Linked DNA regions of Neurospora crassa OR74A. The protein of the gene in region 1 purifies or fractionates together with the protein of each later gene. This does not show direct contact. Links are inferred from orthologs where the notes say so. Each region holds a gene or a part of one and is shown in the gene's direction. Other genes may lie near its edges.

Region 1 (4,131 bases):
CTCTATCCCGGGTTAAAGAATGGAGAGGTCCCGACCTTGAACTCAGCTGAGCAGGCAGGTAACGAAATTAATCTTCAAAAGCCAGGGCCGCAGGTCGATCGGACGACTGCAGCTGCCAGGGAAAGAGACGACTTCCGAATGACGGTCGCGCAAGCAGAAAAACGCCCGAGACGTCAAGAAAACCTGCGCGTTTAAATCGCCTCTACAGCTTTGCCAGAACAGGGAAAAGATGTACGAAGAAAAGGACGCGACTATCAAGTACGACGATGGGCGATGCGACAAGGCGACCAAGGGCGACAAGTTGGTCGTCGAAGAAAGGAGAGATGCTGCTGATGTCAGGTCAGGGTGACGACGGGAGTTGAAAGGAAAAAAGTTGAACGTGAGCAGCGGTCGCGCAAATCAGGTGCGTTCCGCCGTTCATAAAAAGGGACTGACGCTTTGCGACTGGGCAAGCGGGTGCATGAGTGCAGTGGGCAGGCGCTTTCTCAACGAGTTTGCCAGTGACGGGAGTGCATTGACTGGCTGGCACGCTAGCGCTCACGGGCCGCCGACGCTCGTTGGCACTGGCGGATCACGGGCCTTTCTCCAAAAATGGCCCAGGCACGCAACGAAGTGGAAGTCAGCACACGTGTAGCAAGAGCTTCTGTGGTCAGTGCGCGTGGCAAGTGAAGGTGGAAGTGCCCCTGGGAAGTTGGATTTCTGTATGTAGCACGCTGGCACGATACCTGGAACCAAAGAGGAACCGGCCGTTTGTTGGGTTTTGGGTGGGTCCGCGCCAGCTGGGGGCAGGAATCAGTGGGAAATTGCAGCAGTGTTTGTACCTTACCATTTAATCGCTACTTCTACCTACCTCTAGACAGGCAGACAGGTTATGGCAGGAGCAGACATACTGAAAATACCTAGAGGTACGTACCAACCTACCTCTAGGGAAGGTATTTCTCTGGACCTTGAAGTTGTCCATCATACCTCTACACTTCTACGGATATAGGAAAATCGAGAGCAAATAAGACGGACGACATGGTAAATTGTCAGCGATGACACGCACGGGCTCAATCATCCATTCCTGGAACAGTCAAAGGTAAACGCCACAGAGACAGGAAGATGTCACAACTTGCTGGTTGCGGTGTCAATCGAACATTGGAGGACGATAACGGAATCCTCGTCATACCTCTACTGTGGGGGAAAGCTCTCAGCTCAGGGCGGCACCTCCTGTAAGTGGAGGTTAGCGGATATAGAAGGGAAGGGGTAAACAGTCCACTGGGAGACAAAGGCCACTGGTCCAAGCCGAGGGAGAGATGTCAGGTACCTTGCGGACCAGAGAAGACAACATACCTCCAGAAGTAGGTACCCAAGGTAGCTTCAACGGAGATATTCTGTTTCCTCACGTCAGCTTTCTGTATACCTAGGTACTATTGAACACGTAAGGATCTTCTGGACTCAGTACTGTAACATCTTAACACGTTTGCTCTTTCGTCTTTAAAAAGTTGCGGCTCTCTTTCAAAGTTTGCGAAAAGGCCAACGACTCGAGGCCAGCCTAGCGATAATTCGGTTCAAGGGACGCGATCACAAGCCGCCCCACCACTGTGACAGCGAGACGGGAGCTACTACCTTCCCTTCCACTTGCCTCAACAGCCTACAGTATTCTACAGCACCTCGGCCCCGAGTCCTCCTCCACGAACTTCCTGCCGACCAGCATAGCAATCACTTTAATACACAGACATGGCGCCAACACCAGGGAACTCTCTGCGCGACAAGCAGATCTGTATGTCCCACTGCCTTCCTATCCCCAAGGGTCACAATGCCAGACAGTCTTGCGGTGGACTGACACATGCTCTCTAGTGTCTATCAAGAAGCTCCTGAACCTCAACCAACCCCTCGAACCGACCGACGGCGACGACTCGAATGGCTTCCAATCCGCTTCCGCCCCCTTGCTAAAGGACATTCCCACGTGGAAGATCTTGGTCTTTGACGAGCTTGGTCGCAATGTCATCAGCCCAGTACTCCAGGTTTCGGATCTGCGATCCATGGGCGTCACGCTACACGTTTCCATCGCGGCCAACAGGCAACCGATTCCTGATGTCGATGCCATCTACCTTATCGAACCGAACGCCAAGAACCTCCAGCAAATCACCAATGATCTTCAGAAGAACCTCTATAACTCTGCCAGCATCAACTTCCTCTCCTCGGTACCACGGCCACTGTTGGAGGACTTTGCGGCGCAAACCGCTGTCGCCGGCACATCGGAGAAGATTGCCCAGATATTCGACCAGTACCTCAACTTTATCGTTCCCGAGCCGGATTTGTTCAGTCTGGGCATGCAGAAGGAGCATACATACTGGGCGTTGAATAGCGCAAAGACACAAGATGAGGAGTTGGACAGAGTTATCGACAGGATCGTCAGCGGCCTGTTTAGCGTGGTGGTGACACTAGGCGTCATTCCCATTATTCGCTGCCCCAGGGGTGCTGCTGCTGAGATGGTTGCAACGAAATTGGACCGAAAACTTCGCGATCATATTCTCAACTCCAAGGACAACCTCTTTTCGGCACACAGGGCAGCCGCTTCCAGCACTGGAACGCCAAAGCCCCTGCTCGTTATCATGGACCGTAATATTGACCTAATTCCCATGCTGTCCCACTCGTGGACCTACCAGAGTTTATGCGCCGACGTCTTTGGTTTGTCGGAATCGAACCGGATCACAATCGAGAGCCCCGTGGACTCCAATAACCCGGCCAAGGGCACCAACAAGAAGACGTATGATTTGGCTGCCGATGATTTCTTCTGGGCCAAGAACTCATGCCTGCCGTTCCCTCAGGTAAGCTGGAAGTGCAGACGGGACATCCTGAGGATGGTCTACTAACCAGGATGCTTAGGTTGCCGAGGACATCGACATTGAACTCACGAAATACAAGGAGGAGGCGGATGCTCTCACCAAGAAGACTGGCGTTAGGGATTTGGACCATTTCGAACAAGACTCGAGTGCAAGTGCTCAGCATCTAAAAGCAGCTGTTACACTCTTGCCCGAACTGCGCGCAAGAAAAGCCACTTTGGATATGCACATGAACATCCTTGCTGCTATCCTTGGCGAGATTCAAAGCCGACAGTTGGATAACTACTTCCAACTGGAGGAGAACGTGTTCAAGCAAACCAAGGCGCAAGTGCTGGATCAGATCAAGACGGCGGACAAGGGCAAGCCTGAGGATTACCTGCGTCTCTTTGTGATCTGGTACCTCAGCACGGAACAGGATGTGTCTCGTCAGGAATGGACGCAATTTGAGGAGGCACTCGCGGCCAAGGGCTGCGACACAACGTGCCTCTCTTACATTAAGCAGTACGTGCTACCCCCCTTTTTTTTCTTGGGCTTTTTCAGCCATTTCTGACTAACAATACCACACAGAGTCCGCGCCACGACCAAAATGACACAACTCACCACGGTAAATAATCCTTCATCCTCCAACCAGCAACAATCCGGGTCCTCGGACCTTTTCAACCGCTTCTCCGCCATCTCCAGCCGTCTCACCGACCGCCTCAAGGAGACGGGCGTGCCCACGGGCGCTCTCTCCAATAACGTGGCCTCTCTCTTGGGTGGCATCAAGAACTTCCTCCCCGAAGACCGCGACCTCACGGTAACCAAGATCACCGAGTCCCTCATGGACCCATCGGCCGCCAGCTCCTCGGCCATCGCCAAGACGGAACACTACCTCTACTTCGACCCGCGCAGCGCCAACGCGCGCGGCACCATGCCCCAGCCGTCGGCCATGCGGGCCCAAGGGAGCGGGTCATCCCTGGGCGGGCCCGGTGGCTTGCCAGGATCAAGTGGCCCGGGCCAAACGGCCAGTTTCGGGCAACGCAGACAGGGGTTCTCGGAGGCGATTGTGTTCATGGTTGGCGGTGCGAGCACGGCCGAATACAGCAATTTGCAGGAGTGGGCGGCGAGAACGACGACGGGAGATCGTGCGAAGAGGAGGGTGATTTATGGTGGTACGGAGTTGCTTAATGCTGGCAGCTTTATCAAGGAGGAGTTGGAGAGGTTGGGTAAGGAGGTTTCGTAGATTGATGGCCAAAGATGAAGGGGAAGAGTGAGGGGTGGAAGTGAGGAGCTGCTATATATCAGATTATAATTACTTTACTTG
Region 2 (3,656 bases), on another chromosome or scaffold:
GGGCGAGGCTCGAGAAGCTGACCAGGGGGGACGAGGTCGCGTCGGGAAGGTCGACTTCGTCAATCAACGGAGCAGACGAGTGCGAGCCAAGCGAGCCAAGAGCGAACGATGGTTCCTGTCCAGGTTACGCCCGACTGCCCGGCAAGACGTTGCACCCTGGACTTGCCTTTAAAGCCAATGGGATTGGCTCGGCCCTGGTCTGCAGCAGCGGGTCCACCCACCCACTGCACTGCGAACCCACTGCAGAGAGTCTAGTGTCCACTGCGCTTCGTCGCCGTCCCAACGTCCCCCAGCATCCCGCCCGTTCCTCTTCCATCTCACAAGCGAACGGCACCGCGACGGCAGAGTGAGATCGCTGGGGAAACGAATGGCGAAGAGCCACAGCTCACTGGGCTTGTCCTAATCGGTGCAAAAAGCGGTGGAGCACCACAGGCATCGCCGGCGTCCAAATCTGGTGTAGTGTAGGTGGAAGGAGGAACCGACGCATGTGCCGGCCACTTCACGAACCCCCCCTGTCTCTTTCCTAGGCTTGTCTACACGACACTACACTACATAGTACACTACACTACGGCTTGGTTTTCCTCTTTGAGCCATCTCCTCGTCATTACATACACTACGACTACGGGTCTTGATGGTTGTTGTTCCATCAAGGTCAACTTTTGGTAGGAAGACTTCTAGCTTCACCAGTCTGACGATCTCTCGGCCAGAAGTTCATGTCCAGCTTTACATTATTGGTGATGTACAGACGCGTGGGCAAGGCGGTTCGATGGTCATATGTGTGTAGTTACATTTGTGCGACCATGAATGATATGTACCCGAAAGGCTTCGAGATCCGACACGAGGTGGAAATCCGCGCGGTGTAATATCCGGACCTGGTGGAGAGGATCGATGACTTTGTTCTCGAAAAGGTCATTCAAGGCATCGATCCCATCCGTCTGACTCGAAGGAGTTTTGCTCCATAGTATTTTATACTGGGTAGTCGTGGAATCATATACTATGTGCCTCATAGGGGTAATACTCGTTGAGAGGTCCGCGATCCCTTCCAGACTCGGAGCAGAGTGCATGTCAAACATATTCGCTTCGCGGGTGAACACTGTACACCAAAGACCCTTTTTTCGCTTCAGGAAACCTCGTTAGAAGCATGGGCCGGCGTTCCGCTTGTTCTGTTTGTGCTTTCTAATCACCTTCCACATCATCAGTCCGTCCCCTTGGAAACTTTTGTTCAATGTTCCAGGAAGATGTTCTTGACAAGTGCGATTGTAGGGATCTGAGTAGTCGTCTTAGTCGTCATTGCACATGTCAATCATGGTTGAACAAAAAGCAAATGAAAGGACACGGAGATGCAACAAGAGCCCGTGTTAGGACAAGGTCTTCCTATAGTAGCATTGGCACTAACATGTGCTAGCGGGGCGGTGTTTGGCCGACGCCCGCCTGACGGTGCTGTTCCAGCCCAGAGGGCATGGGTCTCGATGGCCTGGCCCAACAAGAAGCGGACGGCTGTGGTTGGCTTCGACACATCGCCATTCAGCCTCGAACAACAGCTTGATTCCATCGATACCTCATCGCATCGCCATTGCCGCCATCGATCGCGCGTCGTCTATCAAACCCCTCCCCCTAATCCATCGACAATCGTCGAGCCCGAACCACGACCGACACAGCGACGCGCTTCCTTGACCAAACCATCGCAACTTACAATCCATTAACCTAATCTAACGACGAACCCTACGATTCGGCAATTCCAGACCTCATTGCTCCCCACGCCATCACATCGGCTCTCTCTATCCCAACGCGAGACATCAACATCATCGTGTACAGTCAGGAACCATCAACAGCGATACTCGCCTGATTTGCGCCAAAGCTCTGAAACACGACCACAACAAAACCTCGGGGACGTTTCAAATACCGCTACCATGAAGCTCTACTACATTGGTGTAAGATACGGCTGCTTTCATAGGGGGTACAAGAAGGTACCTGCTGACCGCGAACAAGATCTACAAAAACACCGAGCAGCCTGCGGTGCAGCTCTGCGGTGCCCACGAGCTTAGCGACTTCTCCAGGTTCACACGAGACCAATACAAGAACTTCATGACCATGATCAGCAGGACTGTCGCAGAGAGGACGAAGCCTGGCCAGAGGCAAAGTGTTGAGGAGCAAGGTGCGTCTATGGTGAACTCTCTGCTCGCATACATGTGCCTAGCTGACTAGGTGGTGTCCGAACAGATTATATTATCCACGCCTATGCCCGCTCCGAGGGTGTTTGCGGTGTCGTCATCACCAAGGACTACCCTCCTATCGCCGCCCACAGTGTCCTTTCCAAGCTCATGGACCAGTTTCTCTCGGAGAAGCCGGTTGCCACGATAAACGCCGCCAAGAACGACGGCGACATCCCTTTCCCGGCCATCGAGCAGTACCTTCGCGACTACCAAGATGCCAACAACGCGAGCAGCATTGCAAAGATCCAGCAAGAGCTCGACGAGACCAAGATCGTCCTACACAAGGCAATTGATAGCGTATGTCCATTCACAGAGGGTAGCAATGCTCTATATAACATGCTAACCTAGTTTTAGGTTTTGCAACGAGGCGAGAAGCTCGACGACCTGGTTGCCAAGAGTTCCGACCTGAGTGCGCAGAGCAAGATGTTCTACCAGAGTGCGAAGAAGCAGAACTCGTGCTGCCTGGTTATGTAAAGATCGTTCATCAATACCAACCAACCACGCGCGACTGTCTTCGCTTTTAGTCAGCCGCACTGATATATGCCATCGACCGCAACGTTCCCCCTACCCAAATACAAAGAGCGACTGACCCCTCGTTGTCTTCGAGGCACTGGTGGGGGTCTCTTCTAATTCAGCTTTTGGTTTCCGCGCAGGTTGCAGTTTGGCTACTGACGACAGAGGGCCTTACAGTAGCCGCTTTGGATATGTGAAAGCCACTTACCTTGACGGCTTCGTGGGCTCTGAGAATGCTAAACTTCTAATTCAACCTGCAATATACCCTTTCTCATATTCATTGTTGTGTGGTACATACCCGAAACTGTGAAAGATTGACCACTGTTTGGCGCTAAAGCTGTGAAATACATACTTCGACTACCAGATGTAGGTAGTCCTGTTATAGATTTGTTATGTGTCGAACCCGAGGCTGCGCACTTATCTGAGAGATCTTCGCTCCGTTTCTTGCATACCCGTTAGTTTCATACGACATCCGCCCTCAAAGATTATGTGATGGGCCGACACAAGCGAAGCGGTCGGGTTCCCCAGTCACGACATTCGGTTGCAGTGATGACGACCTTGTCCGCCACGCCGTAGTGGCGTAAACTGTGCGAGTCGTAACTAATGTACACTATGGTATATTCTAGGGGTTGTTATCCCTCTCAAGCTAGCCCAGCCAAAAAGACTCTTTTGAAGATATGAATGGAAACGTTGAGATTCAAACTACAAGACTACGCAGCAGCATCAATTGAGCTGATCGATGATGGCGGCATTGCGTACGGATCTTCCTCCATGCCGATCTTATATCGGCTCCGTCGGCGTCTACTCATGTGCACTACAGACGTTGGATGCAAGCTGGGGTTCGAACAACATCATAGGAAACTGAGACTGTAAATGTGCGGGGTGGCAGAGGCGCTCCTACCTGATGTCGCGCCTTTGCTTCAAATGAAT
Region 3 (3,205 bases), about 1.0 Mb from region 1:
TTCCTCGACTGCTGGTTCCTCGACTGCTGGTTCCTCGACTGCTGGTTCCTCGACTGCTGGTTCCTCGACTGCTGGTTCCTCAACTGCTGGTTCCTCGACCGTTGACTTTTCGGCTGCTATCTCCTCCAAAGTCACCTGCGCAGCAGTATCAATCTTTTGGACAAGGATAGCATCCCAGTCCCCACTCACGCTCCGGGGAGGTGAGGCCGGAGGAGAAGAGAGGACGGAGGACAGCGGAGAACTACTTCCTTCTTCAGCCATCCTTCAGGACACCTTCAGTTAGTCGCCTTTCTGGAAAGATAATTATTGCGTGTTGAAGTTGTTCAAGGAGTGATCGAACGCGGCAGTGTGGGTTTGCCGGCAAAGGAAAAATTACCGTCAAGTCAGATCTGGATCTAGACAGATCCGGAACTACTTAGTTGTTGTGATATTAAACAATACCAGATAGCAGAAACTGGCAGAATGGCGCCGTGAAAGTCACCGTTTGTCTTTCGTAAGTCAATGATGGTTCATGCGGCCAATATGGCTGTGGTTACATCTGCGAACAAACTGATGTCTGGTGGAAGGGAGGGGAGAAAGTGGGGGGTTTATAAAAGTAGAGAATGAGATGCGTTCAGGTGAAAATGTGGTCAACGAAACGAACCGAAGTGGTACTACCTTGAGTACAAGTTGACGCGCAAGGTTGGGAGGATGTGCGAGGGAACGAGGTGGAACTGAACTTGATCTAACCACCACTCTGAACTGGGAGGGGGATTATACTGACTGTGATGAATGATAGGTACCTCTAGGTAAGTAGGTAGATATTCCACCTCCAGCTCCCCTTCCCCGATGTTGTTCGGTTGAAGATGCTCCTTCTTCAAGTCGTTGTGTGATGGACAGGATGGGTGGGGATGGAAGCTGAAAGGCGCCAAGCCCGGGCAGCCACTTGCATGACACACCCCGGAAGCTAGAGGTAGCTTGTACATACTGCATAGTAGGCGTGAATAGCGGGCCGGGCGAGACTGCCTGCTCGCACTATTTAACTACCTAAACAAAACTAACTTGCAGGCCCTGCAGGGTGAACTTTCAACACATTTCCAGCGGCAGTACCGTCATCAGTGTCCCGTTTGACGACTTGTAATCCTTGATAAGGAAACACACGTTGGCCTGGCGAAATCATTGCATCACTCTACCTACGGGTAATGTTTTGTTTTCTTTATATAGCCATGTAAAGAAAAAAAAAAAACAAGAAAGAGGATAGCGAATTACAATCTGGTCTGCTGGTCGACAGGGAAAGAAGCATGCAATTGAACAAGAGAATTCGTCGGTGCGAGTTGGTTGCGGTACCTAGGTAGAAGCCACGTACCTGGCTGCTTTTGACGGATCACTCCCACTCGTCATCACAAGCTTTTATAAACCTTGCCTTGTTCACTGTCCTCTCCAACGACACCAACTTAACAAATCCAAGCACGCAACTGAACTGGCCTTGATTTCGAGTTGCACAACGATACTAAAGGTCGCCAAAAACAACACAATGAAAAAGGAGTGATATAACCTATTCTTCACAATGATCCGCTCAACACAAATTGCACGGCTGGATGGTTCGTGCCCCCCCCCCCCCCCCCCCTAACTAACCCCCTCGACCAACATCTGTGTGCCTATGGAGATGTCAATGTCTTGTCCGGTAGCTAACCAAGACCCCTCCCCTCAAAACACAGGCCTCATGCTCTGCGCTTCCGTCGACGACGAAGCAACTGAATCCTCCCTCAGCGAAGTCAAGTCCCAAGTCAAACTAATTCTGCGCCGCCTAACGCGCACCTCGGAACCGCAAGCCAGCATCGAGAGCGGCTCTCTCTACACGCTGCACTACCTGATTCAGTCCGACATCGTATACTTCGCCATTACGGACCGGTCGTACCCGCGCAAGCTAGCCTTCACCTACCTTTCCGACATTGCGGGCGAGTTCGCGACGACGCACACCCCGGCACAGCTCATGAACCCGACGCTGCGGCCCTATGCCTTTATGGACTTTGACAGCTTCATCAGCCGCACCAAGGCGACTTACAGCGACACGCGTGCGACTCAGAACCTGGATAAGCTGCATGATGAGCTTAGGGACGTGACCAAAGTCATGACCAAGAACATTGAGGATCTGCTGTACCGCGGCGACAGCCTGGAGCGCATGGGCGAGCTGAGCAGTAGGCTGAGGGACGATAGCAAGAAGTACAAGAGGGCGGCTGTTAAGATCAACTGGGATTTGCTGCTGAAGCAGTACGGCCCCTTTGCGGCGGTCGGTTCCATTATCATCTTCTTCTTGTGGTGGAGATTCTTCTTTTGAGTGCATCCCAGGCAGGGAGCATCACCGGTAGCGGGTTAGCATGATACCGTCGGGTGGGTTTCCTCAGTCAGCCTGGCTCTGTATGATGCTGTGACGGATAGCCTACGTGGATTCTGTAATTATTTTAATATGTGTTTGTAGGGCATTGGTTTTTGGCGCTTGACCTAGCATGGAGTTTGGGTAAAGGAGGTTGGGGGGAAAGGGGGGCAAACGCAAAAGGACGTTTGGCCAGGTGAGGTTTCAGCTATCAAGACATGTTGCTTATAGGTTCCTGCTTTCCACTCCTTCATCCGATGCCTTCCTAAAGCCTGACAAGGTCTCTATGGATGACTGTACCACAGTGTCACCGATGCTCAATCATGCGTATCTCCTGGTTCATTCCAGACCGGCATCTCTTCTGCTCGACACGCTATTTCTGTCAAGCGATGATACAAAATCTCCATCTGAGATAGCCTATCGGTCTCTTTCCCTACTTGAAGTAGAAGCTCTTGCCCCCCCAAACTCCAATTCCAAACCCGTTTTTTTTTTTTTTTCTTTTTTTCAATTTTGTTGTTCTCAATCCAGAACATAAACCGACACCCTGGACACTAAGCCCAAGCTTGAACCACCCGCACACGCACCCGCAAGCCTCAATCACATAATCAAACAACTCCCCGCCGCCTTTGGCAATAACGCCGGTATACTCGGCACCGGCAACGCCGTATGATACCATTCCAAATGCTCCTGGAAGCTGGCCAAGTCCTCGAACCCCCTCTCGTCCTGTGCCCACTTGACCTCGTCCTCGCTGTCCTCACCCTGGTCCACGTACGTGTATTCGTCGCAGTAGGGACACCATATCCTCGCCAGCCAATCGCCAGGGACGGGGGCAATGTGGTTCGCAATTGCTAA
Region 4 (3,804 bases), on another chromosome or scaffold:
ACACGTTCGGCATCAGTTAGCAGATACAGAGCCCTCCTATATAGTCAGACCACGCAGACCACAGCCCTTATGCCTTCTCCAGGGCGCGCGAGACGAATCTCGGCCATTTTCCCCTTGATCATCTACTCCCCCTTCTTCCCACTCCTGACAACAAAGTATCTCCCAACCTTTTGCTCAGCTGATCCCAACACATCCCAATCCTCAGCCTCATTTTTCTTCTTTTCTTTCAGCTCCTCCATCTTTCTCCGCCTCGGCCGCAGGCAATGACCAACAATATCCTCCTCCGCCAGCGCCCCTTCAAGCATCTTCAGATCAATTGTGCTGTCCGCCAGTCCCTCCGGAGACTCATCTCGGATCGAACTCAAGGGCGCCAGCTCCTTGGCTTGATCTGACGGATCCGTGGTATCCACCGACTGGATGGCCCGCACGAAGTGCAGGTGTGAGTGCAGAGCCGAGAGGAGGCGGGTGGTGGAGGCAGGGTCGGAGGCGGAGGGCGGGGGGAGGGCGGAGAGGCGGGCGAGGTGGTGCAGAGTTTGGGGGGTTATTTCGCTTTCTTCGGGTTGGGTTGACGAGGATGGTGTGGATGATGGAGGAAGAAGAGAGCGGACGGACCAGGTTGGCGTGGAGAGGATGACTGATGGGCTGATTTGTGATGGTGGAGGGAGTTTGGAGGAGCCGCCGCGGGCGGTGAATTGAGGGAAGGTTTCGGTTGTAAAAGATCGTGAGCGGGAGAAGTCACGGGTTGATGGCTGGCTGGAGTTGGAGCTGAAGCAGGCTGAGAGGGCCGAGGAGGTTGAAAGAGCTGCGCGGTGGCAGGCGCGGCAGATGGTTTTTGTTGTCATGATAGCCTTGATGGGAAGAAAATGCCTCGGTTTTCAAGGTAGTATAGCTGAAAGGGAGATGTTGACTTGCGTTGCTCTATGAGGTTTGCATATGATGTGGCTTGGAGATTATTTGATGCTTTAATGGGTGGTTTCAGGTGAGGCTCTGGTAAAATGTCGCGATATGAGAGGTTGAGATGAAAGAGGACGAGACATCCTTTGCGAGGTACCTACCTATTGGGCGTCATAGCTGAGCTTTGGTAGGTTGAAGGCTAGACCCCTGCCACCGGGCCACTTGGTCAGGCAAGCTACCAGCCCTCAGGGAACCTGCTCAGGCGTCAAGGGCTTGGCGAGCCGGCATCAGCGATCACAGCCCGCTAAAGTGATCATCCCCCCAATACTCGTGCTCCGCCCCCACTTTTTTGGATCTCGCCAAACTCGCACCAACTAAAGTTGGTGCTCACGACTGCAACGGCCACACCACCACAACGGCCACCATAGTGAGCATAGTTCAGCATCAAGATATCAGAAGCTTGTAACTCATCACAACAACCAATTGAGATAAGTAAAATACTATAAGTATAATTAGGGAAGTACATCGTATATAGGAAGCATTTTTCTGCTTAGAAAAGCCAATACATTAGAAAGATTATGTTTCTGGCCTATAAATCAAGCCCGAAATTGCACCTCTAACCCTAACCTGGCCGTTGCGCTGGTGTGGCCGTTGCAGTCGTGAGCACCAACTTTAGTTGGTGCGAGTTTGGCGAGACCCAAAAAAGTGGGGGCGGAGCACGAGTACCGGCCAACCCCCCAATCCCATGCCCGCATACCTTACCCCGGGAGACAACGAAACACCTCGGGCTCCTGCAACCACCAACACGACACCATCCCGACCAACACCTGAGCTTCTTCGAGCGCGCCCGATTCCGAACAATTGGGACACCCATCAATCGGCTTCATACAGCGGACGCGACTCCAACTTAGAACTTTGCCCATCTATATACCGTCTAATAACTTGCCCTTCATGGCTGTCGATCCGCGCGTTCTCCAACAAGAGGTTTGAAACCTGCCCCTCCTGGCACCTCCTGACACTTTCGCGACACCTTGCTGATGCCGAATGCGAACACCAGGCAGAGAAGACCCTCGCGAGCGCGTCCAAAGGCTGGGGTCTGTTCGGAAACAAGGAAGACAAGTACCAAAATGCGGCGGATCAGTACATACAAGCGGCCAACGCTTTCAGGTTGCAGAAGTCAAGTACGTCATCACAATCATCAACACCCACGATGCGCTTTCGGGCCATATGAACCTCGCGGCAAGTCCTAACGTTCTGCCCACTACCCAGACACCGAGGCCGGCAAGTGTTTCGAGGAAGCTGCCAAGATCTTCACTGAGAAGTTGAAGGAGCCCAACGATGCGGCGAATGCCATGTTGGACGCCTTCAAGGTCTATAGGAAAGATGCCCCGGATAATGCTGTGCGCTGCGTCGAGGTTGCCATCAAGCAGTATACCATGGCGGGGAACTTCCGGAGAGCTGCGTCGCACAAGGAGAACCAGGCTGAGGTCTACGAAAACGAGCTGCAGAATAAGCCAGAGGCTATCAAGGCCTATACAACTGCGGCCGAGTGGTATGAGAACGACGGTGCTGTCGCGTAAGTGATTAATGCCCACGGCTTTTGCGCCATGTTACGAGTCCAACAGGTCGTTCTAACCAGCTGTGTGTAGTCTTGCGAACAAGCTGTGGCTCAAGGTGGCCGACCTCTCTGCCCTCGCGGGCGACTTTTTCGCCGCTATAGAGAAGTTCGAGAAGGTTGCGGAGGCTTCACTCGGCAACAACCTGATGAGGTACTCGGTCAAGGAGTACTTCCTCAAGGCCGGTCTCTGCTCCTTGGCGACCAAGGATATGGTCACTGCTCAGCGTAACATCACCAAGTATGCCGAGAAGGACCCATCATTTACGGGCCAGCGCGAATACCAACTCCTGGTTGACTTGTTGGAAGCAGCCTCAAACAACAACCTCGAGATGTTCCAGGATAAGCTTGCCGCGTACGATAAGATGAGCCGGCTCGATGACTGGAAGGCGGCTGTTCTTCTCCAGATCAAGAACAACTTTGAGGAGGCAGACAACGAGTTTTCATAAACAGGGTGGAGGAACTTGTGATATACAGCCATTTATCACTTTCTGGTTTCCTTCTTTCCTTTTTCTTTTCTTTGTTATCGTACCGGCGTTTTCTGGTTGGGAGGGGGATGAACTGTCATATCATGAATACGGTCATCGACGCTTTGGTGATTTACGGAAGACCCAAACAAACCTGCTGTCTGGGGTAGAGATGGGCTTAAAGCAATAGAAACTTGTTCCTAGTGGGTACGCGTTGTTCGTACGATCCAACATGAATTGTTGTATCTCATAACCTTGATGGCTGCCCAAGCGAAACATAGGTACCTCTATAAGCATGAGATGCCATAGCTAACCCTGGAGTTACAGTTGGGAGCCGCTTCGGACTAGCGCCAGACCCTTATCAATGACAGCGGGTGGGGCGTGCGCGCCGATAAGCGACAACTTTTCGAACTTTTCTGTTCTTCATGACATCGATTTCAGCACTGCGAAGCGGCTTGCATTGTCCCACTCCAGCGCCATTCCATCACATTCACGATGGCTTCTTCTCCGTCTTTGCAGGAGAAACTGGACAAGATTCGGTCTCCGAATCTCCAGAGCCAGAAGCAGGTAAGCCAGAGTCATGATGCATCTCTCCTTTTTCCATCTTTTGTCTTCTGCATCCCTACCCTCTTCCTTCCAGCCTGCCATTGCAGTGGCCTGTCGCAAGGCCGCCTCCATCGTGGACAATGGACCCTGACTTGAGCCACAGACTGCCAGTGTCCTCGAGGCTATCGAGGCCACCTTCAAGGAGCGCAATACACCCGCGACTCCTACCGCCTACTTCGCTGCCCTTCTCAGTCTACTCAACAACGAAAACCTCGCGACCCC

Evidence for each region. The genes of interacting proteins can lie anywhere in the genome.
Region 2: the proteins of NCU04252 (region 1) and NCU08973 purify together in Saccharomyces cerevisiae (affinity purification with mass spectrometry; 3 studies listed by BioGRID, with this or other methods). This does not show direct contact. The link is inferred for Neurospora crassa OR74A from reciprocal best matches to the Saccharomyces cerevisiae genes SLY1 and YKT6.
Region 3: the proteins of NCU04252 (region 1) and NCU06708 purify together in Saccharomyces cerevisiae (affinity purification with western blotting; 3 studies listed by BioGRID, with this or other methods). This does not show direct contact. The link is inferred for Neurospora crassa OR74A from reciprocal best matches to the Saccharomyces cerevisiae genes SLY1 and SEC22.
Region 4: the proteins of NCU04252 (region 1) and NCU01674 purify together in Saccharomyces cerevisiae (affinity purification with mass spectrometry; 4 studies listed by BioGRID, with this or other methods). This does not show direct contact. The link is inferred for Neurospora crassa OR74A from reciprocal best matches to the Saccharomyces cerevisiae genes SLY1 and SEC17.

Annotation. Positions count from the first base shown.
Region 1 is NC_026505.1:5,366,437-5,370,567, reverse strand, and holds the start of NCU04252 (SNARE docking complex subunit), read left to right. Parts: upstream 1-1,327; 5' UTR 1,328-1,719; coding exon 1,720-1,762; intron 1,763-1,839; coding exon 1,840-2,813; intron 2,814-2,871; coding exon 2,872-3,329; intron 3,330-3,395; coding exon 3,396-4,050; 3' UTR 4,051-4,131. UniProt on the Saccharomyces cerevisiae protein: Able to suppress the functional loss of YPT1. SLY1 is essential for cell viability. May interact indirectly, or directly with YPT1.
Region 2 is NC_026503.1:4,097,496-4,101,151, reverse strand, and holds NCU08973 (SNARE protein Ykt6), read left to right. Parts: upstream 1-1,468; 5' UTR 1,469-1,910; coding exon 1,911-1,931; intron 1,932-1,989; coding exon 1,990-2,155; intron 2,156-2,220; coding exon 2,221-2,510; intron 2,511-2,567; coding exon 2,568-2,687; 3' UTR 2,688-3,142; downstream 3,143-3,656. Other genes in the region: NCU16686 (hypothetical protein), read left to right, coding at 1-350.
Region 3 is NC_026505.1:4,347,985-4,351,189, forward strand, and holds NCU06708 (protein transporter sec22), read left to right. Parts: upstream 1-1,384; 5' UTR 1,385-1,546; coding exon 1,547-1,580; intron 1,581-1,697; coding exon 1,698-2,317; 3' UTR 2,318-2,691; downstream 2,692-3,205. Other genes in the region: NCU06707 (uncharacterized protein), read right to left, coding at 1-261; NCU06709 (hypothetical protein), read right to left, coding at 2,951-3,205. UniProt on the Saccharomyces cerevisiae protein: Nonessential SNARE involved in targeting and fusion of ER-derived transport vesicles with the Golgi complex as well as Golgi-derived retrograde transport vesicles with the ER.
Region 4 is NC_026502.1:2,742,002-2,745,805, reverse strand, and holds NCU01674 (alpha-soluble NSF attachment protein), read left to right. Parts: upstream 1-1,470; 5' UTR 1,471-1,845; coding exon 1,846-1,878; intron 1,879-1,951; coding exon 1,952-2,075; intron 2,076-2,163; coding exon 2,164-2,470; intron 2,471-2,543; coding exon 2,544-2,958; 3' UTR 2,959-3,290; downstream 3,291-3,804. Other genes in the region: NCU01673 (hypothetical protein), read right to left, coding at 123-842; NCU01675 (90S preribosome component RRP12), read left to right, coding at 3,472-3,543, 3,686-3,804. UniProt on the Saccharomyces cerevisiae protein: SNARE complex protein that binds to cis-SNARE complexes on membranes and is required for vesicular transport between the endoplasmic reticulum and the Golgi apparatus and for homotypic vacuole fusion.